4 linked regions of the Drosophila melanogaster genome follow. The gene in region 1 interacts genetically with each later gene. Each region holds a gene or a part of one and is shown in the gene's direction. Other genes may lie near its edges.

Evidence for each region.
Region 2: of vap (region 1) and spri, changing one suppresses a phenotype caused by changing the other (phenotypic suppression), as found in Drosophila melanogaster (2 studies listed by BioGRID).
Region 3: of vap (region 1) and Nf1, changing one suppresses a phenotype caused by changing the other (phenotypic suppression), as found in Drosophila melanogaster (2 studies listed by BioGRID).
Region 4: of vap (region 1) and RasGAP1, changing one suppresses a phenotype caused by changing the other (phenotypic suppression), as found in Drosophila melanogaster (one study listed by BioGRID).

What each region holds. Positions count from the first base shown.
Region 1 is NC_004354.4:15,999,072-16,009,338, reverse strand, and holds vap (vacuolar peduncle), read left to right. Parts: upstream 1-3,526; 5' UTR 3,527-4,354; intron 4,355-4,894; exon of another isoform or gene 4,895-5,011; intron 5,012-5,252; 5' UTR 5,253-5,413; coding exon 5,414-5,624; intron 5,625-5,696; coding exon 5,697-5,810; intron 5,811-5,889; coding exon 5,890-5,962; intron 5,963-6,043; coding exon 6,044-6,453; intron 6,454-6,626; coding exon 6,627-7,476; intron 7,477-7,548; coding exon 7,549-8,455; intron 8,456-8,520; coding exon 8,521-8,671; intron 8,672-8,753; coding exon 8,754-8,902; 3' UTR 8,903-9,388; downstream 9,389-10,267. Other genes in the region: Muc14A (mucin 14A), read right to left, coding at 1-92, 154-211; CG12698 (uncharacterized protein), read right to left, coding at 701-1,429, 1,663-1,839, 1,908-2,048, 2,099-2,232, 2,284-2,395, 2,519-2,662, 2,730-2,834, 2,912-3,112; CG8939 (uncharacterized protein), read right to left, coding at 9,701-10,267.
Region 2 is NC_004354.4:10,581,274-10,588,439, reverse strand, and holds the start of spri (sprint), read left to right. Parts: upstream 1-3,017; 5' UTR 3,018-3,530; intron 3,531-7,166. UniProt on the Drosophila melanogaster protein: Potential Ras effector protein. May function as a guanine nucleotide exchange (GEF), by exchanging bound GDP for free GTP.
Region 3 is NT_033777.3:25,981,046-25,988,295, forward strand, and holds the start of Nf1 (neurofibromin 1), read left to right. Parts: upstream 1-1,967; 5' UTR 1,968-2,246; coding exon 2,247-2,303; intron 2,304-2,546; coding exon 2,547-2,690; intron 2,691-2,789; coding exon 2,790-3,174; intron 3,175-3,229; coding exon 3,230-3,371; intron 3,372-3,427; coding exon 3,428-4,021; intron 4,022-4,082; coding exon 4,083-4,404; intron 4,405-4,466; coding exon 4,467-5,019; intron 5,020-5,073; coding exon 5,074-5,611; intron 5,612-5,666; coding exon 5,667-7,250. Other genes in the region: fid (fire dancer), read left to right, coding at 1-252.
Region 4 is NT_037436.4:9,850,907-9,858,089, reverse strand, and holds the start of RasGAP1 (Ras GTPase activating protein 1), read left to right. Parts: upstream 1-2,804; 5' UTR 2,805-3,277; coding exon 3,278-3,425; intron 3,426-7,183. UniProt on the Drosophila melanogaster protein: Inhibitory regulator of the Ras-cyclic AMP pathway. May function as a negative regulator of Ras85D/Ras1 in the sev signaling pathway. Acts cell autonomously in cone cell precursors as a negative regulator of R7 photoreceptor cell determination.

The sequences.
Region 1 (10,267 bases):
CAATGGCTTTAATAAATATAAGAAGAAGCCAAAGTTCAGATTTAAATCTGGATCCTTTACGCGAAGTATTCGTTTTGGATTATAGATGTGTCCTGTTAATAAAAAAAAAAAGAGTAGCGTGATTTTTACAATCGGAAATTTTGGTTTACTCACCTGCGAAAATATAAATAACAAATGCGAGAGTTATCCAAAAACCGATTAATAACTGCATTTTTAAGTCTACTTTTTTAAATCGGCCAAAACTGTTTTCACTTTTGCGAGAGGTAAAATGGGCAAGGTCTTCATTGATAAATAATTATTTTAAATTGAATTTGTATGCCCCATTATTTCCGTACAGACGCTTGAATGCAATTTGTTACAACTCTCAACTACTAACAATAAAATACATGGTTCGTAATTTAAGAAGTGAGACGATTTCACTAGTTTTAACGCGGCCAAACATATACGTAGTTCAATACAATCTTATAAAAAAAACATGTTCCCAACCGAAAAATCGATCAATTTCACTTTAGTTTTTAACAAATCCAAGCTATAATACCCAAGTGCCTTTTTATTAAATTTCAAACACAAATATTTGTGTATTCAAATCGAACAATTCTCTACCCTCAAGGAATTTTGAAAACAATACTAATGATTTAATAATGCTTTAAAGTTGGAAATGTATAAATATATTCAAGTGGCAAGTAAATTGAAGACGAACTTAATTGTCGTCAGATTTTGTCTCCACAATGTGACTTATTATCGGTATATCTTCATGCTTTGTAAAGTTGGCCAATGATTCGTTATTAAGTATGCTACTGATATAGTCACGTCTGAATCTTTCCCATTTTCGTGTCTTGATAAAGTCCTTGAACAAATCCTCCCTGGTTGGAATATTGCACTCGATGTAGAAACGCTGACGCTGCCAGAAGTTACCAGGATTTTGGGCGGGCTCAAAAAGCCAAAAGCGTGGTATCACGATGCATTGCACCGTGGTCCTTGCCATAATCACACGATGTTCCATTTTCTCGCCCAATCCAAAAATTCCCCCGAATGTCAGCGAGCCGACGTCAATGAAATGCGTTTCAAAACCTTCCTGACTGACCGTTTCTTCGACATTTCCCTGTTCCGAAGTACTGGAAGCAGTGAATATTTCGGAACCCTCCGATTCGCTCTCGAATTCGGCGCTGGCGACTGTTGAAATTGTCGGCATATCAGAAGTATCACTATATAATTCCTCGCTAAGATCCTCAGATATGTTGCCTGATTCACCACCCATGCCCATTAGGTAGAACTCATAATGCTTTCGCGTTATCTGACGTTCCGCGTCCCGCCCACGCTGTCGCAATCGCAGCCGTTGGCGTGCTGATTCCTTGGTGGATCTCCTAGATACTGGTTTCTTTATTTCGTCGCAGAGTCGCTGTATCTCCTGAAGTCCCATTTTGCGCAGCTGCCAAATAAGAAAAGAAGCACGCTGTGTTACAAAAAAGTCATATTTAAAATTGAAATTGAATTGTTAAGATCCAAACGATTTGGTTGATAACGATGCACAGATTCCGTATCTGGATGCGAAAAAGGGATATATAACTTGTATACAAAGTTATATACAAAAATGATTGTATATGGTGAACGTGTCGCGAATTTTTTTCATTTTATGATACTGATACTTAATTTAGAGCTCACCTTCCTTTTCTTGCTCTGTTCGTTTTCATCCAGCGATGAGGTGGATTGCACGTACTCGTTAATATCAAAGAGCGGCTCGTTATCGTTTGGACCTGTGTCATCATCCAGGAGAGGTCCAGTTTTGAGATTATAAATGTTTGGCAGCTGGAACACCTTTTCCCGGTTCACCATATTGACCTGTGATGGATAAAACGATACTATATGCATATTTCTGTCAAATTCGAGATTTCTAGCAGATAGCACACCTTCATGTGAAGGCATTGTAGCACCACGCATTCCCCGCTAAGGACAAAATAGACATAGCTCATGGTACCCAAGTCTTCGGTGTAGATCGTCTCCAAGGGCTCGAATTGCTGAATTGTTCCATACTTACTGGCATTTACAATCTTACAAACAAGTTATATTATAATTTCTTTTTATCTACTATTATACTTACCTGTTCTTCGTTGAGAAAGTCAAAATAGTCAAGGGCCCGCAGAGCATCCTTCTTTTCCTGCCACATCTTTTGCATAAACGGTAGAAGAACAATTTTATAGTTCGTATTGAATATAGCCAGGAGTTCGCAATAAGCTGAAAGAATCAAATGCGATTAGGTGTCAAGAAACAAACGAATCGATTTACTTGTGGCGATATAAGTGTTGGTTCTGGGTGTATCTTCCATCACGTCAATATCACCAATGCAATCCCCGGGTCCAAAAATGGCCTCCGTTTGTACGGTAGGACGACTGGAGCCCTAAGAAATATACCATTTTTCAAATAAAAAAGCATATATATTTAATAAGGCATAATTGAAAAATTGTAGCTATAACTATGCAAAGCATATTAGAAAGTATTATATATAATTTGAATAGTTTACCTTTTTATATATGTTCTTAGACATTTCCACCTCACCGGCGATTATAAAATAAATGGTTACGGGAAAATCCTCCTCCTTCATAACAATACGCCCGGGAGATATTGCCATGAATTTGACAATCGGAACAAGACGGGCGCGGACTTTCTAAAAGGGGTAACAGGTCGGATAAGTAATATTATACATATGTACAAATGATCAGCGCGCTACTCACTGGCGGAAATTTTGAAAAGCAAGCCAGATTTGCCACAATGGTGCAGAGCTTTTTCCTCTCATCGACGGAACGCTTAGCATGTGGAGTGCGCAGCAGCGATTTCTCCTGCAATTAAGCAAACACAAAAAGGAATAAACTCTTGAGCTAGCCTTGATATGAAAGAAGAGGTTCGTTGGACTTACGGCCATGGTCATCATGCCCACTTTGCGCTTCTGTCGCAGCATGGCAACGTTCTTCTTCACATTCAGCGATATTCCACCCTCCTCGGGCAGCTCACTTAGCCACTGCATATTCAGTATCACGGATCGGATGAGCTTCTTAAACCGAATCTTGGCTATTTTCTTTCCAGCGCCATCGTGAACATCGCGTTGGCGCTTGGACATGATTATGCCTTCTAAATCCCACTGATGTCGAACTGTTCAGTTCAGAGTATTGTGTCCATATAATAGTATTCGAATGACAAAGATTCGGGCTGCCGCCTGCTGTCTAAATAAGCTTGAAAATATGAAAATATATAAACTTAATTTTACCCCATTTCAGATTTTGACGGCTAACGGTTTTCGTGCGCACAAAAAACATGTGTTATTTTCAAAGTGTTTAAATCATCTTTTGTAATTTCAACACATATTAGCTTTTCATTTAAGAAATGTACATTCAAATGCTGAATAAATATTATTTGCGTTTGTTTTTTCTTTAAAATATTATATCTTAAATTGGCTTATCGTTTATAATCGATTTCTTATTCGAGCTGTACTCTCTGGCGCTATCTTGACGCACATACATTCGTCCGATAAGTTGGGTGTGTGGTATATTTCGATGATTCACTACGTTCACACTGCGCACAATTGAATTCTGTGGCTATCGGTACGGAAGAAATTTTAGTTCGTTTTAAATATGCAATTGTTATGAATAACACAAGTTGAGCAAATAAAAGACGGCAATTCCCAGCAGCGCGATTTGTTTTTTTAGCTCGGTGCTGCAGTGCAATGTAAAGTATATAGAGGAAAATATTTACACATGCGCATTAACCGATTAATGTTCTGTGTAAATGGTTTTATTTTTTTTTTTTTTGTATTTTTTGTTACCCATATGAGAGAGAATTAAATGGTTGTGCTAATGATTCATTTACAAAGGAATCACAAACCGAACACAGCCCAGAAATTGTGAATCAAATGGGCAGTAATTACCCCGCTTGAGAGGAGTATGATAAAGACGGCGACGGTGATGACGATGTTGATGATGATGAGATGGTGTTGATGATGATGATGATATGATGACTCTTCGGGTCGTGTATGTATGAAGAAAAGAACCGAATGAATTTTTTTGTGTTCGGCTCGTTTGGCAAAAAGGGCTTAGCCTAAAGTTTGTGTGTGGTGTGCGGCTCATATAAATCGCTTGTGTTTTAGATAGATGTTGATGTACAAGAGGGTGCAGCATATTCCTATATATATACCAATGTACATAAAGTATATATACGGTGTTACAATTCATAAGTAACTTGTACTTTCATACAACTCGAAATATCCTAAAAATGTCTGCGCATATGTAAGAAAGTCAGTCGCCCGGCGATTTCAAAGAGCAATATGTACATATGTACAGTGGCTCACAGCTTAATTCGTCCAGAGGTAAATGTTTATTTAATAATTCGATGAAAAACCGTTTAAAATATCAAAGAAATGGAATAGACAATTTTCCTTATCCATACACATTGAAAACGTATAGAATCAATATACAGATTCTAAGATGAAAATCTTTATAGAAGAAACAACTTAAAGATCTTAAAGTTGTATGGTTTTTTGTTGTCTAAGCTGTGGGTTCACTACACTCCTATATTACTGACTGAAACAATCACAATTGATTTGTTATCTGTAAAAGTAAACAAAGCGCAAACAGCTGATGGATGTGCTGTCCATCTTATCTTTCATTTAGTTTACTGCGAAGTCTACGTCGTTAATTGCTTTTAAATATGGTTTTGGATATAAAGTAGCATTGTCTCTATATTCTAATTAATAAACCCGGTTTCTGGTGCTGGTTGTAATCGGTTGTAATAGCGCCTATTAGTAAATTTCTTGTTTTACCAATAGGCTTAGGTTTAATCGTATTTAGTGTAGGTGTGATGTATTCTTGCCCCACAATTTTGCATACGTTGTTAAATTATTTGTTAGATCCTCAACTTTCGTAACATTGGACCCGAATTTTGTTTTGGACACTTATAGCGAATCTATTCCAATTTGTTTTTGTGAGATTACCACCACCGATATGGCAAAGAAAATGATTTCACGGTAAGCCCCGAATTCCGAATTATTTTCCATTATCTATATTTAATAGCATTAGAAAGCGGAAACTAGAACTAACAAATCTCTCGGGGCGTTTTTAGTGAATGGTTTTAGACATATCTTGGTTTAGTTAAGCATTTGATTCTATTAGTGACTCTCTAATCTGATTTCTGATTTTTATCAAATATGATTTTCGTATTGTAATCAAAGTAAGGCAGCTAAGTGTTTTTATCTGGTCTTCTTACAGTTTAGCACGGAAAACCCCACACAGTCACAAAAGTTAACGTATCTCCTCAGTTAAACGCATTCTTATCATTGCTATATGTGGCTTTTATTAAATCGAATTCCACTCGAAGTTAAATATAGACTAAGACTCGCATTTGCTGAACAGAGATCATAAGCCTAACAATGGCGGACCTAATACATTTGGGAAACATTGATGTTGTCATCCAGAAAGATAAGCCCGGATCGCCAACGGGCTGTTCGGATGATGGGAATCTTGCGGGGCTGGGTGGCATGACCGGATTGGGTGGCATAATGGCACCTGGCGGCATCGACTTGGGTGACTTGGCTCAGGAATTGGATCACGATGAATTCGATGGACCACATATGCTGAATGGTAAGTAAAGTTACATGCCCATACATTGTAGTTCGATCGATAACTAATTTTCCTTGCAAACTCCAAACGCAGGTGAACGTCCAGCGATTATTGCTCCTCCGGAAAGCGAATGGTACCATGGACGACTCGATCGCTACTCTGCAGAGTCTCGCCTACGCGGAAGCAGTAAACTGGGCAGCTATTTAGGTGTGTATAAGATGGTATTCGAAGGTGAGAAAGTATTACTAAATAAATACCTTTGTGTTCTTTTTTTAATGCTGAGCAGTTCGCGAAAGTGACCGCAAACCTGGCTCCTATGTTCTGAGTTATTATGGCCGCACCGGCATAAATCATTTTCGGTAAGTAATAGGTTAAGATACCCATTAAATGCCATTGTTTTGAATGATTTTTTATATATGTATGTTGTATCGTTAACATAGGATTACAGCTGTGTGCGGAGACTTCTATATCGGAGGACGACAATTCATTTCCTTAAGCGACTTGGTTGGTTACTATACCTCATGTAGTGATCTACTGAAACGCGAACGCTTGGCCATACCAGTTGCTCCGCCGGAGCCAGTTAATGATAAGAAACGCGTCGTAGCCATCCTGCCTTACACAAAAATGCCAGAGACCGATGAACTGAGTTTCCAGAAAGGTGATATCTTTTTTGTACACAATGACATGGGCGATGGCTGGTTGTGGGTGACTGCCCATCGTACGGGCGAGCAGGGAATGATATTCAGAGAACTTGTTGACGATCTGGATGTATCTATCGATCCAAATACGGTGTTTCCCTGGTTCCATCCCAACTGCACCAAAAACGAAGCCGTCGATATGTTGGTTAAAGGTGTGTATTATTAGTTTAAGGTACCTACAAGTAAGGAAAGCAAGCTTTCCCGAGATTCACGAGATGAATCCTTAGAATTTTGAGCTTCTTCTAGTGACGCCTACAATCGATATTTTCGACTTTTCTCTGTTGCTATATGTATGTAATTGAAACACATTTTTTCATCCTAACAGCTGGACCAGGAAGTTTCCTCGTTCGCCCAAGTGACAACTCACCGGGGGATTACTCTCTATTCTTTCATATAAACAATCAAATCCAACGCTTTCGTATTGAAAAGAAAGGCGTGCGCTATTTAATGGGCGGTCGTACATTCGAATGCTTGGATGCGGTTATAAATCGATATCGCAAAGAGCAAATTGTGGAGGGCCACTCACTGAACCATCCAGTTGTCAATGGCATTCAGCCCGAGTTCAATCAGCAATATGTTGTGGAAAAGGCCGCTGAAAAGATCTACGCAACATTGCGCGAGTGTCGTGACCAAATCGGTCTCAAAAAGATCAAGGGAATCAAACATCACGGCCATTTGAACAAGAAGTCGGACAAAACGACGAAATGGAAGCAACTCTATTTCGCTTTAATCAACGATGGTTCCGAGACGCAACTATGCTTCTACGACAATCCGAAGAAGACCAAACCGAAGGGTCTGATCGATTTGTCCTGTGCTTACCTCTATCAATGTCACGATTCGCTGTGGGAGCGTCCCTATTGCTTCCAAATTGTCGAAAGGGCCCTGCCATGCTTGGCCACAGTGACGTATCTGTGTGCTCCTAGTCAGGAAAGCTACGTGGAGTGGATTAATTCGCTCAAGGCACAATGCGATTCCCAGCTGAGTCGTGCCCAGAAGAAGGTATCACGCCTTCGTGAGCTTCGTTGTCTTAATCTGCATGTGCTGGAAGCTCATCGATTACCATTTAAACTAGTGCCACATCCATACTGCAGTATTTCCCTCAATCAAGTCAAAGTGGGCAAAACTCGTGTCAAAATTGCACCCGAACCCGTTTGGGAAGAGGAGTTTGTGCTAGAGTAAGTCTACCATTCCTTCGCCTATTTGATAACTTATCGAATAATATATGTTTGTAACTTGCTTGCTTGCAGCGATGTTCCGCCAGATGTTGTCTCCCTAACCATAACATTAATATCGCGCGGCAAACGCGGTAAGGACTCCGAAGTGGCTGAGCTAACCATTGACTTGTCTAGTCTAAAGAATGGCCAGGAAACCGAGGGCTGGTACCAACTCACTGGCATGACGCCGATGGGTGAATGGGGCTCGCTACGATTGCGTATGCGCTACCTCGACGATCTGATAATGCCGTGTGAAGAGTACAGTCCTCTGCAGCAATTGCTCCTCGAATCGGAGCTGTATGCTGTGAAGGCGCTGGCTGAATTGTGCCATAATGATCGGGTTCCTTTGGCCACGGCTCTGTTGCGAGTCTTTAGGCAGGAGAAACGGGAAACGGAACTAATTCGAATGCTGTGCCAAGCGGAGGTGACGCGCGAAAACGAAACCACAACGCTTTTCCGTGGCGCATCCTTGGCCACCACCCTAATGGATCTATATATGCGCACCGAATGCAGCGGCTTCCTGCAATCGGCCGTCAGCGAAACCGTGCAGCGCATTTTGGAGAGCAAGCAGTCGGCTGAATTGAATCCCACGAAAATGGACGTCAACGATGATGCCTGTACGAATGCCGAGTTTCTATTGCAAATCCTCGATCTGGTCACCCAGTCGATATTCACTTCACCGGACGCCTGTCCACGCAACGTGCGTTTCATTTGCAGCTGTCTTCAGAAGGCTGTGATGGCCAAATGGCCGACAGAGCGGCTCGTTCGCACACGCGTCGTCTCTGGCTTTATATTCTTGCGCCTTCTGTGCCCAGCGCTGCTCAATCCACGCCAATTTGGATTGGTCAGCGAGACGCCACCGATGGCAGCAACACGATCTTTGGTCATGGTCGCCAAGTGTCTGCAGAATCTGGCCAACTTGATTGAATTCGGCGGCAAGGTGCGTATCGATTCGACTCAGTTATGTGATTACCAAAATAAATTCGATTTCTTTTTCATTTTTAGGAACAATACATGGAGGTTGTCAATCCGTTTATCTTGAAGAACAAGGAGCGTATGATTGTTTTCTTGGATCAACTGTCCTCGGTGAACGATCCGAACCAACCGCTTGGAATGTTTGTCGAACAAAGTACAAATCTGAATTCACAAGACACTGGTAATTATTTGTCAGCTCATGTTTTCTATTTGGCGCTGTTATATTATTAAATATACAATGATTTCTTTTATAATTCCTGCAGGACGCGAGCTGGCTACCTTGCATCACATCTGCGTATCTCATTCGCAAGAACTGCACGAGCTATCCAACATACTTTCAATTAAGAAGCTGGTCACAGTGACGGACATGCTGACCAAACACAAGCTGAAGTATCGCGAGATGATCAGCTAAAATCAATTGCGAGGAGAGCGGATAATAAAAAAAAGCGATGTCTTCTTATCTACAAGTCCCTTCATACCTTTTTATAAAAATATTTATATGTGTATACTATTAGAATACATAAAATAAGAACTCAAAATAACTGGTTGAATTGTATTGGAATAGTAAACAGCATCTCATTTATAAAATTATTTATATGGAAATGAAATAATATTTAACAGACCGGTATGCATTTATTTATTATTATTATTACAAATTAAAAATAACCTATAATACACTAGCTTACACGGATTACTCCGTATAGCCGCAAACTCAGATATTCAAAATGGTTTTGCTTTCGATATTGTTTAAAATTTATTAGTGCATTACCAACGTCAAATGGCAGTTGGCGTCCAAATGCACGGCATTTATCCAAAAGTCAATACATTTTTTTTTGAAATAACGCATAAAATCGAAATAAATTAAAGAATTCAAAAAGAGTGCAAAAGACTTCCTCTGAAAACATACACTGTGTTTTTGAATGGCTCCCTTTCGGTTTCTTGCAGCTGAAAAATGTTTTTTTTTCGAATTTCTTCGCACTTAAAGGCGTTGCAATGGGCATGGAAAAGTCAATAGTCAGCTGAATTTAATATAAATACATATATTCTTCAAAGGAAACAACAGTTTTGCGTTTATATTTGCAGTTTCGCATCTGATTTCTTATTTTAAGTGTATAAAATCATATTCAAAGAAAAAAAAAACTACCTGATTCGTTTTATATATATATTTAGTATCTATAAAATATTACATATTTATTTTTTAGATTTACATTTATTTACGCCCCTTCCCCTTGCGACCCTTCGAACCCTTTTCGCGCCTCTTCTTTGCATCCATTGACCGCTTGTCCTTCTTCTCGCGCGGATCGACGACCTTATAGCGACCCTTGACGCCAGCTGGACGACGTGCGCGTCGAGCTGCTGTCTGCTTCTTGGCCACCACATATGTGACCTCCTTCTTCTTCTCCTGAGCCTTCTTGTACACCTTCTTCAGTTGCTTGGACTTCTCGTGGTTGGTGGCATCGCTGTTCTCCATAATCTTTTCGGCCATCTTCTTAGCCTTGGCCAAGCGTTTCGTGGCACGACGATGCTTGCGCGCCTTGGCCTCCATGACCTTCTTGATCGGACGCACGTTCACCTCCTGCAACTTGCGCTGGTACTCGGCGGTCAGCTCCTTCGGCACCGGTGTTGGCTTGGTCATATGCTCGTCCTCATCGAGCTTGAACCAAACGGGAACGTTCTCATCGTTGAAAGCGTAGCGATTCCAGGCTGCGTCGATCAAGTCACGGCGTGTCTTCTTGCTGCGTGTCAGCAGTGCGCCCAAAGCCATTTCGTTTTCGGA
Region 2 (7,166 bases), 5.4 Mb from region 1:
TATCTTCGTCTACGAACGCCCATTGTACGTCGTGTAATTGTGCTGGGACAGCACTTGAGTGGATCGGATCGCTTATGCAATTTGCCTAAATGGCTCACATGACCTCCTCGGCGCCTAATGAGCCACTTAATCGGACGATTGTGCGGTCGGTCGGTCGGTCATTCATTCTCCGTCGAGAGTGAATAGGAAAATAGCACTTACCATTTGAAAGCTATTGTTAGGCGAACTCAAAAGATTCATAGCATAGTAGGCGACTTTCTGTCACAGAACTCAAAAAGTAACTTATTTAATACAAATCAAGAGTTAGCTATCAAGTTATGCCCTACACTTTGGTCTATAATCCAAATCTGATTGCACTTATTTCTCACAAAAAGAGTTAATTGAACTGCTGTTTTAGTTGCTATTTTCGCTTTCATGTGTTTCATTTGTTGTTCACCCATCGTTTATTGTTAGGCAAAACAAATGCATAAAAGAGAACATAAAAACAATAGAGCAGAGAAGTAGTTATAGTAAAAAGCGAAAAGCAAACTATTTAATGACAGTCGCCAACCCACACAAAACCCAGAATCGGAATAGGAATCGCAATCTGAAACTCAGACTCAGAGCATACTTCAATGTGTTGCTACTGGGACACGGTCCAGAAAAAAGTTTACAGGTAGTGTAGTTGTGGGTCCATAGATTTTCGAGATATGTAGGTTCTTTACCCAAGAAAATGTATGTTTTAAACTTAGCTTGGAAACACTGAAAATCTCTGTTACCACCGGAAAGGTGTTGAAAAGTTATTAAAAACAGAAATAGTGTATGCACCGTTCGGACAGGTCATTTGAAGTTCTGCATAATATTTAAATACCCTATGTCAAGGTATTACAAAATAATAAAACAAAAATAATAGCTAAGCAGCTCCACCAACAAAACAAAAGCACAAAGCAACGAACACGCCCCGCTTTTGGGGACGAGTAAAAAAGTGAACAGAAAAGCCATTATCGAGTACAACAATAGTGAAGCTGCCGCTGTTGAGCACTCCACTTGCACTGAAAAAAAATCATCGATCTTTGGTTTTTTTGAGGACATCTATGGTAAGCATCGATATTTTGAGGGCATCTATGATAATCAGCGTTTTAATTCTATTTTTCCGACCTGTTATAATTTATTATAAAGTTATAATTTATCTAGTTATGAATTTTCATATATTTATTTACCATTTTTTTTTTTTTTTAATTTTTGAGATGGTCAAGATCGCAGGTGAAGGAATAATAACTATCAGAGGGTAATGTGACTTCGAGACCAGCCCTTTTCTTCGGTTTCTTGCTGAATTGTGCACGGCAAAAACAATTACAATTTCGCAAACAAAGATAATTTGCGAATGAGATCGACGACACGACACAATGGCACTTTACAACAACAAGAAGAACAACACGACAAATGGGGCGGGTATGGGGGTCTGTCAAGAAAACCTGAATTTCGAAATGGAAGGGCTAAAAAAAAGGTGAAAAATCAGAAATCAGAAGCTTCTTTCCAATTCCAGAAGTCAAAACGCTAATCGGTAATCGACAATTGCTTATCGGTCATCGACAGTTTTCGCGTTTTCAAATTGTTTGTGGCTGGCAATACAAGGTGAATTGTAAAAAAAAAAAATTAATAAGTGCGAGCAAAAAATGCGATCACATAGCAAACAAAGCTGCAAATCAAGCGAAACAAACACGTCGCCCTCTTAACAAGATATAACCGGGTTAAGCACAATAATATATCTTTTAATATAAATACTTATTCATATACGATAGTAAAACTGATAAAAGATAATTTTCAAGAGAATCTGTTAAGATTGTGAACCAAAGTCTGTGCATTCAATTTCCAGCTAAAACCAAACAACGAAAGACAAAAAGAACAGATTGCTAATTAAAATTTATGGGTGTCATAATTTTCCGACAATTAAAAGTCTCATTTTACAGCAAGAAATATTGATTTGGTCAGCAGTACCATGTGAAAAAATATTACTGATATATTGCAAAACAACCATTTTAGATTTCCATGTGCCATAGCTTTGGCTTTCAGCTATAACTTGTTTTAAACAATATAAGCTTATTTTGCATTACACGTTTAATTAAATTGGGACAGCATAAATTTTTGATAATTACAAGCACCTTTTCCAAAATCGAAAGTAAATCAGCACCTGCCGTTTAATAATTCACTTTGGTGAGCAATATTTATTTTTTGCCAACTCCGCGCTTTTTTAAAGAAAATTTTGTAACCGTAAAACACCAATATAACAATCCATTGCATTCATAGTAATTTCCATTTTAAAACATTGTTAATTTACGGAAAGAATAGTTTAGGAAACTTTTAATACAGTAAGTTGACTTAGTAGCAGAAGAATAAACTTTAATATTAAATATTTCTTTAACAAAGTTAAAAACTTTGCTATCTTCCTTACAACCTATGTTAACCACAGTGACAACAATGATCTATGAGTAAGCGTAAAGTTTGCTTAATACATTATATTATAGTTTTGATATTATACTTTCATAAATTAGTATGGTTGGGTAAATGGTTGTAATTAATATATTGAAAAATGTAAGATCTTATGACTGACATGTGACCACAATAGAGTTAAGTTTAAGTTCTTTTTTAATATAGTTTAACTATTAAGCTATTACTCCATGGTTTCATATATCTTGTGGAGTAAAGTGCTGTTAACATGTTCTGTAAACATATGATACAACTTTCCTTAACTCTTCGACCATTGTGCTGTTAAGTTAAAAATACCTCTTAATATACTTTTATTATTGATAAATAGTTTAGATTCATATACATATCTTGTGGCGCAAAGAACTTTTAACATTATCCATCAACTGAATGGAGAGTTTTCAGTAGGAGTGTGACCACTGTGCGCCATCGTTTCGCATCTCGTAATTTTGCTTGTGTTGTTGCTGTTGTTGTTGCTGCTGCTATTATCGCAGCGAGTTGTTGCTGCCGGCGACGATCTTCGTTTTGTCGGCGGCTTCAGTTCAGTTCAGTTTAGTTCGAGTTCGCACTCGGCCACAAACGGTCGGTCGGTCGGTCGGTTGTTCGTTCGTTCGTTCGCTGAAGGAGAATTGTGGAGAAGAAATTGAACCCGTAATCTTCGGAATCCGTAAAGCCGTAGTCCCGTAGTCGTAAGGCGATCGCGAGAATTGAAATTGTGCTGCAACTCAAGTAAAATAATATTGTGTCGCACAAGATCACTGCGTGTCGCGCTCAATTAAATACACATCTTTTTTTTTATATTTTTCCCCCGGTCTTTATTTATTTTTTTTTGTTTAATTTTTTTTATTTGCGCTACAACGTTGTTATTTATATTTAATTGTTTTGTAACAACAACAACAACAGCAGCCGAGTTAAGTGCGAAAAGTGAAGTGAAGTTTGTCGGCGAGTGAGTGCGAGTGCGCACAAAAATTGGAGCAGGTTCCAGAGATCTTGAGATCTTCAGAACTAGAGATTCCCAGTTCCTAGGCTCCCGGGTTGCGACTTTTGGCGGCATTGGCGTTCCCCTGGTAATTTAATTGAAAGTGATGATCGTAGCCCATCCATAAAGCCACTTACCGGTAGTTCCCCCATCCTTTCACAAGTTCAAGTTCACCGACCACGCGGACTCCTTTTTTCGCTCTTCCACCCGCTCTCTCTTCTCACTCTATCTCTCTTGATCGCTTGCCCTTCTTTCACTCGAAGAAAATACAGTGCACACTCGAGATGGTGAATTTGGATTGGCCATTAATTGCTCCCAGTTTGGGTTATCATACTAAATCTTTGTACAATATCTTTGGAAAAAGATTAAAACCTAACTTTAAATAAATAGTAATAATTACTGCTGTACAACTATTCTTTTTTTTTTCTGAGTGAAAAGCTCTTTTGTCTTTCTCGCCAAAAGTGCGTTGGATTTCTTTACATTGTGCCTGGTTCTCTTCGGTTTACACACTCGGTACATTGCACCCTTGGTCCCTGTTTCCTTTAGTGTCGTCTTTCGCTTTCAATGCATTTTGACAGTGGATTGCTAATCGGCCAGGTATTCGCAGGCCACCTTATAGCACCTACCATATATACCCATCGTACATCTACATACCATTCATACATACAATCGCATTCGCATTCGTATATTCGCATTCGCATTCCTGTCGCCGTTGTCATTTCCTCACCTCATCGGGCACCGCCCTCTTGCTTTCACGCACCTGATGATAAACGGCTCAAATTTTGATAATGTGTACGGATTGTGCTGCAAATTGCTCAAATGGCTAATCAGCTGTTGCTAGCACATATGTATAACCCCCTATACTCCATATCTTTCCAATGAAATCGGCGGGAAATTGGCTTTGTCTCGAGTCTTATCGCATGCCAAAAAAAAAAAACGAAAAATCAAAAGGCAAAAACCCAAAACTTAAGTCTGAGCTCCAAGTCTAAACCAAAACCGCAACATCATCTCAATATTTCCTTAACCACAAGTGCACAGAGCAAACAAGGTCTACTATTACTATTGACTAATTAGGCATTCTTAAGATATAAAAATATATAAATAGAGCAAAATGGTATAACAATTATAATCTATATTATCTAACATAATATCCAAAACCGTGGTGTGCGTGAAACGTGCCCTAATTTTCGCTCTGTGTGCGTGCATCAGCGGATTGCTGATAAGTGGAGAATGTTTATTGTCATTACCTGTGTCCCACTACCTGTACATTCCCCTACCCTGCGGTACTACCCCTCCGGTCGATATGGTATTCCTCATGCAATTTGCGGTTGTCACAGCTATTAGGTTTAGATAGTCCACTGTAGCGGTCTTATCAATGGGTTGCTTTCGCTGGTCAGTCAGTCAGCCAGGTATCTCTGTACGTACGTATGTTTGCCATGCCAGTATTATGATAGCGATCGTCAGTGGTTTACTTCGCTAATGATCCTCGTCGCTCAGCATGGGAACATCGCATCTGTATATGCCCACTAATCCCACTCGTATATTTTGGCTTTTTTGGCTTATCGCGATGGTCATTTAAATACACGTAGGAATCGTTGCGATCCCATCATATACATACAAACGTATGTGCCCAGATATTTTTGGGATACCATTTCCTTTCTTCGGGCTCTTTCCAGTTAATATCTTTTTAGTAGTTCTTAGAATTAATTTATCATATCATATCACTCACTGAACTAACTAATTTGTCCACTTAATGGATACAACTCATGATTATCAAGTGATCTCTGTGAATACCAATTCATTGACTGATAGATGATCACACTCAAATAAAATCGCTATAATTTCCGATGATTATTGACTATGCTTATAAGTCCTTAGCCCTACTGAATGATCTCAGCTAAATTCCCCACCAAACTTTTCTCACCCACACACGAAATGCCGCAATGTCGAGTTAAAATTATTCGATGGCAAGAAAAAAAAAACAGAGATTAAATAACAAAATACCAAAAAAAAAAAAAATTGCCAAAAAAGTCAGCTTTGACTAATGCGCTGCATTGGCGGTGCGATCATTTTTTGGCGATCACTTTTTAGCACCAGTTGAGCTACCATGTGGGCGCAGCGGCAGCCAAAATAGTTGGCCAAGAGTCTCGAGGTCTGAAAGTCGCACTCTTGTTTTTGTTTCGACTTTGTTTTGCTTTCGGCTATCAACAGCTAACCGCTGCGCCCAACTGTTCCAATAGAAAGCCAGTTAACAGCGATACGCTCCGGTTTTCTGTCTTCTCTCTGTTTTTATTATTGGGAAGGGAGATCGAGATCGTTGGATGGGAATCGATCAGTTGATTCGCGGTTCGTAAGTGTCTAAATATAGATTTCGACCATATTTGCTGGCAAATATTGGCCATGAGTGTGCGGCGGGCTGAACCTGCCTCAATTCAAGTGGCACAGTATCTGTATCTGGGCTCCTATATCTTTATACATATCTTTGTACATATATATGAGTATTTGCGAGTGAGTGCACGTGTTTTTGTGGCAGACGGCAGATCGGGCAACATGTCACCCCACGCGACATGCCACATACTACATACTACATACTACACATGCTACATGCAACATGCCACATTTCTCCATCAGAGTTGTTCGCTTCTTTTCATTTTTCGCGTCGGCATTCCCAGCGATCTGATGTCGACTACCAAGCTCGAGCTCCCTTAATAAGTCTTAATCTATATGTCAATATTTTCTTGTTTAGTTTCCAAACACAGACAGACACACACGGCCGTGTTGGATCCATATCTGCATCGTTTTCTGTTTCTGAAAATGTATCTGTATCTGTATCTTTATCTGTACGTGTGTTTGTGACCGCAGAAGTATCTATATTTGCTGTGTATCTTTTTGGCCAGCCAATTCTCCTTCGCATCCACATCCACATCCATATCCACCTCTTCCTGGTTGTGCCATGCCTCACATCTCGCATTCAGACAATGCCCGCGTATTCATAAACAAGGCCTTCGCATTCGTAGTCGCATTCGTAGTCGTATTCCAATTCGTCCGCCTACTGTCCCTCATCTAGTTCGCCTCCTTCTGCGTTGGACGCCTCAAGATTTCAGCAAGTTGGTGCCACTTCTCGGTTGCCATGCGCTGCTGCAAACAAAATGTTTCCTTCATACCCAGTGATCCATGCGGAAATGTGGTATGCGGCTCTTGGGGCAACATGCCATTGTATATAGAGAAGGTTTTTGGGCAAAGATCTTGGCGAATCAAATACAAATTATTGGATACAGTGATTTCTATTTTAGGAACTCAGTTTCCAAAAGTTTTCACTCGTTTTCGTATTGGATATATTGCTTAATGGATTTGTGGACATGTAGTAACTAAAGGGTAAGGGGTATCATCTGGTCGGTGTCCTCTACCCAAACCATTTTGAGTTGTTTTTTTTTTTTTTTTTTTTTTTTTTTTGGTGCGTTCTGTTTGCCCACGGCTGCTGATATGATATGATATGTATGGTTGGTTGGGTTGTGTTGGCTGTCCTGGTTGCGTCTGTTGTCCATGCAAACTGTCGTCATTGTATTGTGTCTCCGTCAGTTCGGTTTGTTGGTTTGCTGGTTTCGTTGAGTTTTCACTGTGTCTAGAGGAAAGTAAAAGCCGCCTCTTTCGTCCGATCAGAAAGCCATCGAAAAGCTATGAATCCTATCGATTAGATACTTCAACCGAGCTTATGCGAAGCTGG
Region 3 (7,250 bases), on another chromosome or scaffold:
AACCAGGCACCGAATCTCCAGCAGCGTCCCTCCAACGATTCCCTGGAGCACTCGAACAGCTCCACCAACTCCCTGGACAGCCCCTCCCAGGGCGGAGCCAGCACACACCACCGCTACTACCATGTGTTCCGCGAGGGCGAGCTGGACGCACTGATCAACCACCATGTGGCCAGCCTGCACATCGTTAGCTCCTACTACGAGCGGGCCAGCTGGTGTGTGGTGGCCGAGAAGGTTCAGGTGTGGACCATCTAAGCACCCAACTCTCAAACGGGGATTCGAAACGAAACTTAAGTTTATTTGCTATTACTGGGACCGAAGCATGTATACCAAATATTTAAAGGATATACGTTAAATTACTTTGAATTACATTTTTTTATACGCATCTAATACATTTTAAGTTGCTCTACAAAAACACTTGAATATCTTTTTAGGACATTCAAAATCCAAGCAGCTTTTTTGATTTTTTCAAGGCGTACCCGTTTACCCGTTTGAATCCCTGATCTAAAACAAATGCCCATTTCCTAGCTGTAGTCTCTGATCTGATGCCCCCAAAGGAATTGTTAAATTTAGTCTATTACTCTAGTCGGCTGGCGGTGCGGGGCGGGGAAGGCCCGTCCTGCTATCCAGCACTAATTTATTGTTAGCAGGCCTGCTCAAGGACGCGAACGCAGGATTGCACTGCATTGAAATCCAATTTCAAAGGAAAACTTAGCTGTAAGAACGAAACCAATCGAATCGAATGCGATAACGAAACAACGCAAGCTAAATACAAATCTTACTAGTTATACGAGCATATTCTATTTACAACGATCATCTGTTTGTATCTTGCGCTATCTGCAGACTAAGTTTCAAGCACTTTATGCTATAATTTCGAAGCGAATAATCATCAAACGTCCATTGCAGCCAACATATACCACTTATACAAGAGAAAATCAAGATACCAGTTAAGCAGCTAGAACAAAGTAATATAGCAACTATGTACGTGCATGTATACACTCCTTAAAACTGCAAAGTTAATAGAACCCTCTAAAAATATCAATAACTGCATTTAAATCTATGAGAAAACCGTACATATATCGAATGCAAAGTAAAATCAAAAATATATACACAAAACAGTTTAAGAAACTCTTTCCGCAAGCTCACAATTTTCCACATATATAAATTTTTCACCTTTTTAAAGCACTTTTTTATTTACTTTAATTGATTGGATAAAGTACCCAACTCACTTCCCAAAAACGGCCAATAAGACGATTGTAACATAAGCCTATGCCTAAACTCAAATTTTTGTCAGCTTAAGAAGGGTTATTTGAAAAATAACGCAAACATTTTCAATAAAACCAAATATATACATATATATACCTATATGCGACTGTACATGTGTTTTTTAGCTAGCTAAACTAACTTTATACCGTAAAATAATAGAACAATTGAATAAATATTAACTAACGTTGGACGCAACACTAAATTACAACAGATAGAACTCGATTTGAACCTATTACTGCTCGAAATGCTGAAACATTATAAACATTAAGTATTGCTGGAAAATATGTATAATTTGCACAGAGCCAAACAGGCACACTCAAACGGAATTAACTCAAAACCCAAGCTACAAAACCATCTGAAATATTTAATATTGATAATTTGTAATGCATTAACAACAACATTAAATAAACTAATAATACTTACTGAACTGAATCTGTTTTAAAAATCATTTATATTTCTAATTGGAACACTTAGACCATATAAAATAATAGCATCAAATGAGATAGAACGAAATGAAGGCCAAATATTTTTGGAATTTTTAAACGCTCCTGTGAGCGCGCGCATTTACTTGTGGCTTATGGTCACCCTAATGAATTCAGTACTAGTTGGTCTGATGCCATCACTATTTGAAAATAAGCGATATATCGATAGGATGTAATTGTTATCACTTATAAAAGCGTTTCGGTATTGTGAAAGAAATGGAAGGCGGTACACACACAATATAAACATCCAAATAACAGCCTGTAAGCCCTTAGAAAATTCCCATAAAAAAAGAAACAGTGCCCGTTTTGTAAAGCCAAACCATCCAAATTGTTGGAAGAGAAGGAAGTGAACGTCTCAGGAACTGAAAAAAACACCAAGGATAACGAACAAAGATGCCACTCAACCAATTGCCACTCCCCAAGCTCAACGAAAAGCTGCCCTATTTAGTTGCTGAAATGCAGTAAAAAACGCATAAACAACTGTTAAAACACCACAACAAGATGACCCAGAAGCCAGGCGAGTGGGCTAGCGCCCTTTTGGCACGTTTCGAGGATCAGGCAAGTGTTTTCCAATCGCTTTTCCGCAGTTGCGTTTTCGCAAGCGAAAAAATGTACCTGCTGCTCTGCCTCTTCCTCCCCCACACATGCTCACAGCGACCTTGCGAGTGTGCGTGCCTCACCCGCTCTGTCAGTGTGAGCTCTCAATCAAATGCGTGGGAGAGCGAGATAGCAACAATAACAAAAACACCGGTTCCCGCATGAATGAAGTGGAATTGAGCAATCAATGGTTTACTTTTTCAGCTGCCAAACAGAATCGGTGCCTATGGCACGCAGGCCAGGATGAGCCAGGACCAATTGGTGGCCTGTCTGATCCACATATCGCGCTACCGCTTCTCCCTTGTCATATCCGGTCTCACCAAGATGCTGCAGAGGGTCAATGAGGCGGTAAGTACTCCATTCTCTATTGTTAACCCTTAAACTATGTTGCCTTATTTTATGGGGCTAGGATACGATTAAATTACTTAAACAAAAATTTCATTGCAGGCCCTTCAAAATCGCCATGAGCCAGAGCGTTGCTACTTTGAGTCGCTGGTCATCATACTGACCACTCTGGAACGCTGTCTGACCAACCAGACCAAGGACACAGCACGTTTTGAAGAGGCCATGAATGTGAAGCTTCTGCTGCGCGAGATCTCCCAGTTTGTCGACGTCCAGAGCGACAGCAATCCGAATGCCGCCCAGCTCAAGGCCCTGGCATCCAAGGTGCTCTTTGCCTTGTCCCAGAATCACTTCTCGGCGGTGTTCAATCGCATATCGGCCAGGATTCAAGAGCTGACATCCTGTTCCGAGGAAAACCCGGACTACAACGACATAGAATTAATTCAACACATCGATATGGATATGATAAAGCTAACCAAGCTGCTACAAGGTAAACTAACTTTTTTAATATTTCGGAAAGGTTAAACAACGTTTTACGTTTCCAGAAACCATCACAAAGTTTCGATCGAAGCGTGCTCCACCTTTGATCTTGCTTTACTCGCTGGAGAAGGCTATTTGGAACTGGATCGAGTACCATCCACAAGAGTTCCAGGACTTGCAACGAGGAACCAATCGAGATATATCAACGTAAGAGGAATTACAAGCGTTTTTAAAGTCACATTAATTGATCCTGTTTCGTTTAGCTGCTGGGAACCCCTGATGGACTTTGTAGAGTACTTTAAAACCGAAAACAAGAAAAGCAAGACTCTTGTTTGGCCGCTTCAAATGCTCTTGCTGATATTGAATCCCTCTTGCCTTGAGGCTGTTGTTAACGAACTTCAGCAGTCGGAGAAAGAGAAGGAAAAGGACAAGGAAAAGGTTGCCTCGAAGTCAGCGCAATCCACGTCCCGGGACAAGGACTTCTCGGCCAAGCAGTTCATCGAGAGTATCAAGAGAGGCTTGGGCCAGCACTCACCATCCAAACAGGTGACCGAATCTGCGGCAATTGCCTGTGTAAAGCTGTGCAAAGCATCCACCTACATCAACAACACCGACTCCAATAATGTGGTCTTCAAGTTGGTGCAATTCTTTATCAACGATCTCAAGGCACTGCTCTTTAATCCAGCAAAGCCCTTTTCGCGCGGTCAGGGGTACAACTTCGCTGATATCGAGCTGATGATTGACTGCTGGGTGTCTTGTTTCCGGATTAATCCTCACAACATCGAGGCTCTAAAGGTTTGCCTGAATTTGTCCTCGCCGCAGGCTTACCATTTTGTAATTGTGTGCTCTCTGCTAAGGTAATTTACTTGGGTAGCTATATAAAACTCTTGACTTTTACATGTATACTTTCCATTATAGGTTGGCTCACATATACGTTGACTTCCGTTTGCAGAACAAGAACCCCTTTCGAATAGTAAACCAACCGAGATTGTCTTGGTGGCCGCAAACGGATGTGGTTCACTACCGTTCTGCTGAGCTACGAGCTTTGTTTACGGATACGCTCAACAAGGCCACCCAGGGTTATATAGCCCATACGCCACTGCGCTACATAACCTCCCTGACGCTCAAATCTAAAGATACCCAGAAAGGTTTAACCCGCGCTGAAGAGGGTCCCGCCCACAAAATGCTATTACTGCTACTCGTACGGCTAATTCATGCAGATCCCACGCTTTTGTTGAATGTGAGTTATTTGATAATTTGATCGATAATAGTCTCATATTTAACAATTGTTTTGTAATATAGACCCAAGGAAAAGTGGCACATGAAGTGCAGAGCTCCACATTGGAGCTCATCAACGGCTTAGTTAGTTTGGTGCATCAAACTACCATGCCCGATGTGGCACAAGAGGCTATGGAGGCGCTGCTTGCTCTGCACGCCCCGGAGAAAATAGAGGTTTGGAATCCAGAGGCTCCGATCAATACGTTCTGGGACGTTAGCTCCCAAGTACTGTTTTCAATCTCGCAAAAGCTCATTCAACACCAAATTGCCAATTACACTGATGTCTTAAAGTGGCTACGCGAGATCCTCATCTGTCGGAATACTTTTCTTCAGCGACACAAGGATTATGCACATGTGGGAAGTCAGATTGCCATTTGCAAGCAGGCTCACATTAAGATGGAAGTTGTTTTCTTCATGTACCTGTGGAGTGTTGATTTAGATGCGGTGCTGACATCGCTATCGTGTTTTGGACTACTATGCGAGGAGGCTGAGATTTGCTGCAGTTCTGATGAATTGACAGTCGGATTTATTATGCCGAATTACCACATTTACCAGGAGCTGGCTCAGTTGTCCACATGTGAGTTTGGTAAATTCATCATACATATTTTTATTAATAATAATTTCGTTTTAGCTGCAACGGACTCTCGCATTTGCTTTTTTGACAACACGCACGGCAATGTGCTGAGCCGTCTTACACTTCAAAAGCGCATAATGACCCTATTGCGCAAGATCGAGCACTGTGTTCATGGTGTTCAGCCCGCCTGGGAGGAAACCTTCCGCAACTGGGAAGTATCCAGCAAGGTTTTGCAAACGTACCCCAAATGTAAAGGAGAAGATGGCCAAGCGGAGGTTTTCCATCGTGGCATGGGCAAGCGGCGAGCGAGTCACCAAAGCTCAGAGCACGATTTGGAGGAACAAATTAATGAATGGGCCAATATGACATGGTTTCTATTAGCCTTGGGTGGCGTCTGCCTTCATAAACGTAGCAGCAGTCGTCAAATGCTGCTGCAGCAATCACAGAACAATGCTTCTTTGGGATCACTTGCTCAAAACTCTCTTTACTCAAGCTCCACAAGTTCTGGACATGGCTCTCTGCATCCTAGCACGGTTTCACTATCCACTCTTCCCCCAGCACCGCCACAAGATGTCAGCTATTGTCCTGTAACACAGTAAGGTTTTATTTATTTTAACATGTCCCATATATAACCTATAACTTTAATTTAGATTCGTGGGCCAACTATTGCGCCTGTTAGTTTGCAGCAACGAAAAAATTGGACTTAATATTCAGAAAAATGTGAAGGAACTGGTGGGCGAGGAGATGTCCACCCAACTGTATCCTATACTCTTCGACCAGGTTAGAGCCATCGTGGAGAAGTTCTTCGATCAGCAAGGTCAGGTGAACGTCAATGTGACCGACATCAACACGCAGTTTATCGAGCACACCATCTACATAATGAAATCAATTCTGGATCCCAAAGCCAACAAGGATCCCAACAACGATCAACCCTCGCCATCGGAACATTTAGGTGTTACAAGCATCGAAGGCATGATGCTAGGAATAGTGCGCTACGTTCGCCACCTGGATATGACTGTTTATGCCATTCGAATCAAGACAAAATTGTGCCAGCTTGTGGAAGTAATGATGAAGCGACGCGACGACCTCGCCTTTCGCCAGGAGATGAAGTTCCGGAATAAACTGGTTGAATACTTGACCGACTGGGTGATGGGCACCTCCCATCAGATTGCACCGCCCAGCTCGGCGGATGCCGCTATTCTTACCAACACATCCCTCATATTTCGCGATCTAGACCAAGCCTGCATGGAGGCAGTGGCTGCCTTGCTTCGGGGCCTTCCCCTTCAGCCTGAGGAATCGGATCGAGGCGATTTGATGGATGCAAAGAGTGCGCTCTTTTTAAAGTACTTTACCCTATTTATGAACCTGCTGAATGATTGCATCGATAGCTCCGAGGCGGAGAAGGAAATGAATAATACCCCACTATTGCCTCCGCGCCCTCGAATGGCAGCTGGAAAACTGACCGCTCTGCGAAATGCCACTATTCTAGCCATGTCTAATTTGTTGGGTGCCAACATTGACTCTGGTTTGATGCACTCCATCGATCTGGGTTATAATCCTGATTTGCAAACGCGTGCCGCTTTCATGGAGGTGTTGACTCAAATCCTGCAACAAGGCACCGAATTCGATACCTTGGCCGAAACTGTTTTAGCTGATCGATTTGAGCAACTGGTCCAACTTGTTACAATGATCAGCGACAAAGGAGAACTTCCCATAGCAATGGCTTTGGCTAATGTGGTGACTACATCCCAAATGGACGAGCTGGCTAGGGTTCTGGTCACCCTATTCGACGCCAAACACCTGTTATCGCCACTCCTATGGAATATGTTTTATCGCGAGGTGGAGGTCTCAGACTGCATGCAGACACTTTTCCGTGGAAATTCTTTGGGCAGCAAAATCATGGCCTTTTGCTTTAAAATATACGGCGCGAGCTATCTCCAAATGCTACTAGAGCCTTTAATTCGTCCGCTTCTGGATGAGGAGGAGGAGACCTGTTTTGAGGTGGATCCAGCTCGTCTGGATCCAACAGAAGATATTGAACAGCACAGGAACAACTTGATTGCCCTAACGCAGAAGGTGTTTGACGCTATTATCAACTCGTCGGATCGCTTTCCCCCGCAGCTGCGATCCATGTGCCATTGCCTGTACCAAGTGCTAAGCAAACGCTTCCCGAATCTTCTTCAAAACAATATCGGTGCTGTAGGCACAGTCATCTTCTTGCGGTTCATCAATCC
Region 4 (7,183 bases), on another chromosome or scaffold:
AATCAACTGCTTTCTTTTCGTTGCAGTTTGTTTATCGTTTCCTAATTTGGCTGCCGTTGAGCTGGAGTTGGCATTGTGACAAGCAGCTGGAGGAGATTGAGATCCTGCGCCCGATCCTAAACCCACAAAGCTGCCAAATGCGACCAACGCTCTCAAACACACAAGCACACACATACACACCCACACACAAAAGAAAACACACATTGTTTTATGCGATCTTTTTATTAAGTATTTCATTTAAGGCTTATTGTTTATGCAAACAATCAACAAACATGATTACATTTTAAGCTTTACGTTTAGCGCGCCAAAAACAAAAAGAAATCAAGTTATGTAATAATGATGCAATCGCAACTCAAGAGGACACCTAACAATTTGCTACATTACATTTAACTAAATGACTACATTACTTGGAAATCGTTAAGTGTCTATTGTATACTATAACAAAAAAAAAAACCATATGCGTGTAAACACTCTCTGAACAATAAACGAAAAACCAAACGGCCATTTGACTTAATCCGCAGATCAAGCCGAAATCTGTAACTAAATAACTGAGAGGACTTCTGAGTGAATCTGGTTTGTGGTGAGGATCTGACAATCAAATAATCTAGAAAATCCTTTTCAGAAAATCAAACTGAAAACGTTTCTACTTAGATACAACTTGAAACTTCATTTTAACATAAGTTTGGTGTTGCCAAGTCTATTAATGCATTATGACAAACGGTTTTGATATACTAATTGCCCTTGATTGGTATATATTTTAAAATCCATAAATTCAACAAAAAAAATCGAAGCTTGAAAATCATCTATAAATCTATTTAACAGCCTTTTCCTCTTGCCGTTTAAATGTATTCAAAGTGCGATTAGGAAAACCCACATTGGGGTCTTTTATGAGTATTTATGTGTAAACTTCACATTAACATGAGGTGGATAAGAAAAACTAAACGTTTTAAGAAACTTGTTCACGACGCAAATAGTAAACGAAGTTTACGAACCCATATTGACGTCAAGATCGAGTTAATACTAAATAAATGTTGTAAATTAGGGAGATCAAAAAACCCGGTCCAAATGGGTTTTTCATTCATAACGAAATAATAACGGAAGCTAGACAAATGACCAAAACACTTTTCCGGACATAAATATGAGAAAATATGGGAGGAGTGGGTTTATAAACAGGCCCAAAAACCTGAAACCGAAACTCGTAGACCCATTCATACGAATGGAAATGCCACAAAATACTATATTTATAACATCTGCGCCTAGCTTCGAATTTTGTGGGCGGGGCAAATGGAGGAGGAGGAGGAATCGAGTGGACAGCTGGAAACGGAAAAAAAGAAGAAAAGCCCTGTCTCCTCTTCTTCCCACGTCGGTTACGTTTCGTTGAGCGAAATGATCAACATATTCAAATGGTCGTTACGCACGCTACACAGAAAATAGCATTGTGAACGTTCTTAACAAATATTATGATACACTTTAAAAGCATATACTAAAGGGAAATGTTAATTTTCGATAAGTCTCTTTAAATTATTACAATTACTATAAACTATAACTGTGTTATAGTATTTACAATTATAATTTATTTTATATACAATTATTTTGCTCAGTGCAGTTGAAGTGACTAGATCAAATGCAGGGCATACGAAAACAATGAAACCCAGCCGAGCAACCATCCGAAATGTTGACCCGACCACTTCCACTTATTGGCGGCAGTTGTGATAAGATGCACCGCCTCACTTGTTGATCTCTCCCTGCCAGTTGTTGTTCTTGTTGTTGTTGTGATGCATGTGGTTTCCAAGGCAAGGAGCAGAAGCAACATATGCGTAAAGAAAAACATAAGCGGCGTTGCTGTCCGGATGCCGTGTGAATTTCACATTTCACTGCCTTGTTTCTGAATATTTGTGTACTTTTAATGTACATATGTGTGTACTATGTAGTTCCTCGGGTTCCTGTGGACTGTCTGCGATCCAGAACGCCCACGTAATGTGCGCTACGGTATAAACAGCCGGGCATTTGATTTTTACTTACTTTGCTAAGCATAACTAGCTATTGATACATGGTTATTGGAATAGATATGAATCTTAAACTGGTTGAATTTAAAAATAAACATTGCTTTCTGATATAATTCCTTAACGATCGATCATAAACAAAACAGGGTTTTTTATTGCTTTGTACCGCCCTTCTTAAGTCGCATATGCCTCGACTTTCTCTGCCGGCGATCTTCGGTTGTTTCCGCTGTTGGTGGCGCCGGTGCAACATGTGTGTGTGTTTAAGTGTAGGTGACCGCTGCTGCGTGTGTGCGTTTTCATTCACAAAATTTTTGGGAGGTGCATGTGTACACTTGCCGCTTGGAAATTTTAATTCAGTTCCATTTCGGCCGACCTGCAACACGTTCGTAATTCGGAGTGTGTTTCAAAGTTAAGCAACTAAAAACCAATCGGAATTAATAAAAACATCAATTAAACCTCAAGTTAAAATAAAAAAAACCAAAAATTCAGTGTTTAATAATAATCAATTTTAAATAAATTACAAAATATATAACTGTTTGTTGGAGCTAACGATATATATTCGATAGCCAGAACTGGTGAAATATCGAAATTAAACTTAAACATTTTTAATGAAAACCTTACTGTTGTGCTTAACTTAATAAGCATAAGCCGTTGTTGAATAAAATAAAAAAATTATTTTAAAACATATCTGCTTCAAACAAATTATTAAGCAAACATTAATCATTTGCGTTTCCCGTGGTATTTTCGGGGCACCGTGCTAAGGTCACACTAATTCGTTGGAGTCATACAACCGTCTCGCTACGGTCACTCTAGTTCTGATTCCGCTTCGAAAGGTTGTTCGCGGATGCGTGTAAACCCGCAAAGCAAATAAACTCGGAGAACCAAGTTTTTGCGATTCTGATTCAAGCAACCGAATTACTTTCCATACTTCGATAATATAATCCCACGTCTGCTAGTGCGTGCAAAAAACAGTTTGTAGTTAAAACGAAATACTAAAATCAGTCGAGCCCTGAAGCAACAGGGAAAGTGCATTTCGTGAGCGGCAAATCGACTCATATTCCCGTCACACCAGCTCAATGCACAATGCAACGCTGCAGCGAGTGATGAAATTCAAATGCAAATAGCCGGCTAATAAACCTGTTAAAGAAAAACAAATAATTTCGAGTTATTAAAGTTTCGTGAAGATCGAGTGAAGGAGTTAGATAAATTTCCAATCGCGTGTTGCAAGTTCCCCAGTGGGTAGCTGACAAAAAGCTGGCTGCTTTAAGCGCACAATGCTGCTGAAGAAGAAGCGCTATATGTTCGACGAGCGAGACGACAATAATATTAACTCGCCCGTCGCCGTCGAGCCAAGCAGCAACAACAACAAAATGGCCGATACACGCGAAGTGCGCATTGAAGAGCAATTAAAAGTGAAAATTGGTATGTAAATCGAGTGCGAAATCGTTCAAAAACATCAAAAATATGTCGAAGAACATGCGTGGCATGAACGTTGAGTGAAATACGCGCAGCAACGTGCGTTTTTTATGTTCCAAAGTGTGCTGGAATTTTGACAGCGTCGCCGTTTGCCCCGCGGAGCCTCTTCCAAGCAGAAAACAACATAGAATCGGGAGAATATGTCTAAAAGTTTTCCAAAATGTTGTGTAATCTAATGGCAAACCGAAATTTGTGCGAGTTGAGGCAAAGAAAGTCGATTAATTGAGAAAACAAATGTGTTTTTGTTCTAGAAATGCATATTGCGTTCAAGTGTATAAGCATGCTGTCCCGCTCTGACTCGCGTGTTGCTCTGTGCGTGTGTGTTTCTGTTGCCTTTTTCCCTGTGTGTGTGTGTTTTTTTTTCGTGCAGCAGCAGTGCAATACATTTGTTGTTGCTGCCGTTTGAGAAGTAATGGATGACCAGGCTGAATGTTACGGCATTCGCTTCTTGACCCACCCCCAGAACCGCTCTTCCTCCTTCATCGCCCAGCACACCCCCCGCAGTTTTGAATGCGCCCCTTTTTGTGAATGAATCGGAAATCAAGCATGTGTCTGTGAGACGCTCCAGCGCATGCTCACACACACGCGACAAACGCACACACACAAGCGGCAGAGAGATCCCAGCAACAATGTGTGGGTTTTTTTATGAATGGAATTTTCGAATTCGGTGTACTTTTCTCAATACGAAGGTGTCTGTTTTATGAATGATTATCAAAAGCAACAAGCGAAAAGAGCATCGATTAATGGCCTACTATATATTGGCAAGAGGTCAAATGAATGAATGACGCTCTCTCACTTTTCCTCTCCATTCTGCCATCCACTTCATTCTGAAGCGAGAGCGAAGCAGACTGCAAGAGATAGACGAAAAATAAACTTGCGGTTGTTTTTTGGTGGTTTTACATTTCCTGTTGAAACATAAAAAGTAAAACAGAATTATGAATAACCACTGGCTGTGTGTACTGTGCGGGGAGGGGGGGGGGGGGTTCAAAAGTTCCCGTGATCTCATTTTCACACCTGCACACGCATTTATTTTTACCTCTTCTGCTTCTCACATTTTCAATCTCGCAACTCATAAGCAGCTTTTGCTATGCTTTTTCAACATAAATTATATGCAAAGCTGCAACAACATTGTTGCCTTGCCGCTTTTGATTTCCGTTTCCCAGCGCCCAGAGTTTCCCTTCGTGTGTTGCGGTTTTGTGTTCTTTTTCTCCGGCCATAAAACTCTTGCTTTTTTCAGTTGCTCTTCTTTTTTTCCGTGTCTTCCCCTCTTCAACTGCTTTTTGCACGCTTCAATTGTTTTCGCATGCGCCTCTGTCTTTGTCGGGATCTTCTCTTCGCACCCTCCTCTCCTCTCGACACTTCCTTTTGCCACATTCCCTTCTTTCTCCAGCTGCTTTAACCCTTTTGGGTTCTGCGAAGAAGATGGCACAATATTGGTTAAAAATGAATTAAAACACGTTTCTGCGCTGATTGAAGAACGAAAGTTATGCACTTCCTTCGATTATCGGGTTGTTATGGCAAATTAGCTGTCACCTTTTTACCTCCATTTCATTCGTTCGCCTTTGTGGTTCATGTTTACCCTCTTTACCTGCAAAAATTCCGTTAAGGATCGACCACAGCTTCCCAAGATACATATCTGATCTCATTAAAAATCCTGAGTAGTTATTACACAACACCATATCTAAAGGAATTGCCATTCAAAAATGCCTCTAAAATGTTAAAAAATGCTGTGTTATGGATCGGGAATACCTATCGAGCAGGAAATTTAACCATATTCTCTAGTTTTATAGAAGTATTATTGGGAACTCACTATTATTTATTTATAGTTTTCCCTCTTAAAAACTCTACTAAAGATATAGAAATGCGATTTCAAACGGCTCACGATCACGTTTTCTAATGATTGAAGAATGAAAGTTATTCATTTCCCATAATCATCATTGATTATCGCATCATTATAGCACATTAGCTGCTGTGTCACCTCTATTGCCCATCAACAGTCAGCTTCTTTCCCATCCGCTTTATAACGTGATATATGTACGTATTTATATATCGTTATAAGCGCTATACATATCTATGTATGTATATGTATGTACACCCTGCATTCTTCTCCCAAGTATCATATTTCCACTTCATTATGCTTTGCATGCTTAATAATAATACTTCCACATCGTGCTCAGTTTCAATTACACACGGAGTTTCGCTTTTGTTGCTATTGTTGTGGGGGCTTTCCATTTCCATTTTGTTGCTCGTTGCGATTTCTACACGAAACGTCCGTCCAAAATTGGCGTAATACTTTTCCACTTAATTAAAATGTTTAGCGCATAACCTAAATTTCATTTAGAATGATAACGAGGGTGTGACTCACTATCGATCTCCCTTTGAATATCAATGACATTTTAACTGAGGAATTATTACTCACTATTCGCCGCGGACCACACGCAATACAGATTTCGTTGAACTTGAAGACCCAGAACAGAGATATCTAGTTAACATGGACTCGACTTTGTTCAGTTCAATTCAGTTCAGTTCTGTGCTGTTTAGAGTTCTGTAACAACAATAAATAGTTTGGCCAAAAAAGGTAATTAATTAAAAGCCGGTTGTGTTTGTACTTGTGGTGTGCTGTGCTGTGCTTTGCTGTCTTGTTCTCCAGTTGGTTGCCAGTTTTCCATCTCGTTTTCCTCGCCTCTCTTCAACCGGGCCAAAACTGGTTGCAATTGAACGAGCCAAAGATCGCATGGAACATTTCTAGATGGTTCGTACTCGGTGGACGCCAAGGCGATGTTGACAATTAGTTCTCGGGTCGTGTCTTTAAATCATTTTTCTAATACAAGTTTGTATATATACATATATATATATGGTTTAGCTTGAGCCACAATTAAAGTGGAATATTTTCATTTGAAAATATGGCCGGGGGAACAATGTTAATTAGCCCAAAGGCCGGTGGCTCATTCGCCGAGGTTTGTTTGTCCCGACAACTTTGTTTGCCGCTTTCAAGGAACCAGCGTTTTTATGTAATTAGCGCATTCTAAAATACTTTTTATTCAGGTCGAAGTCGGCGTTCTTGAGGTTATAAGGCACAGCAAAAAAAATGAGATCGTTTTGGAAATTATGTATGATCTATATTCTAAGTGAAGAGCAGATTCTTCTAAATAGTGGAAGATCATTAGTACAAGTACACTTTATTCCTAGTTAATATTGAATGCATAGAGATCTTTAAATCAAGCAGTAAATCTCTTTTTTTTCTGTGTATCAGTGGGCAAAAGGGAATCACAATCGCAATGACAACGATGACGTTGATGACTCTGCCTGTGATGATTAACATTTATCTGTGGCTTTCCACAATGAGGCAGCAGCATGTTATAATGTTATACATACTCGCATTTCCCCATTTTTCCCTTTTTAGGGGGGGGGGGGCTTTTTTTATGACTTAACGCTTGACCTCCTCGCATTTACTTTGATGTTGTTGACTTCATCAGGGGTCAGAGGCATCTGTGGAACACCGGGTGGGTCAGTTGTCGTCCGGATCGAGTCTACCGCCTCTCAAGGCTTTGAACTTCACGCTGCAACTTCAATTTTTCTGTTTTTATTGTGGCGCTTCTTTGGAGCTTAACTGATCTAAGTCGTGCTCCTCTGCTCAGTTCCATCGGACAGTCAGTCTCTTGTAATTTGTAATTAAAATGAATTCTGTTTTTTTATATCACTTT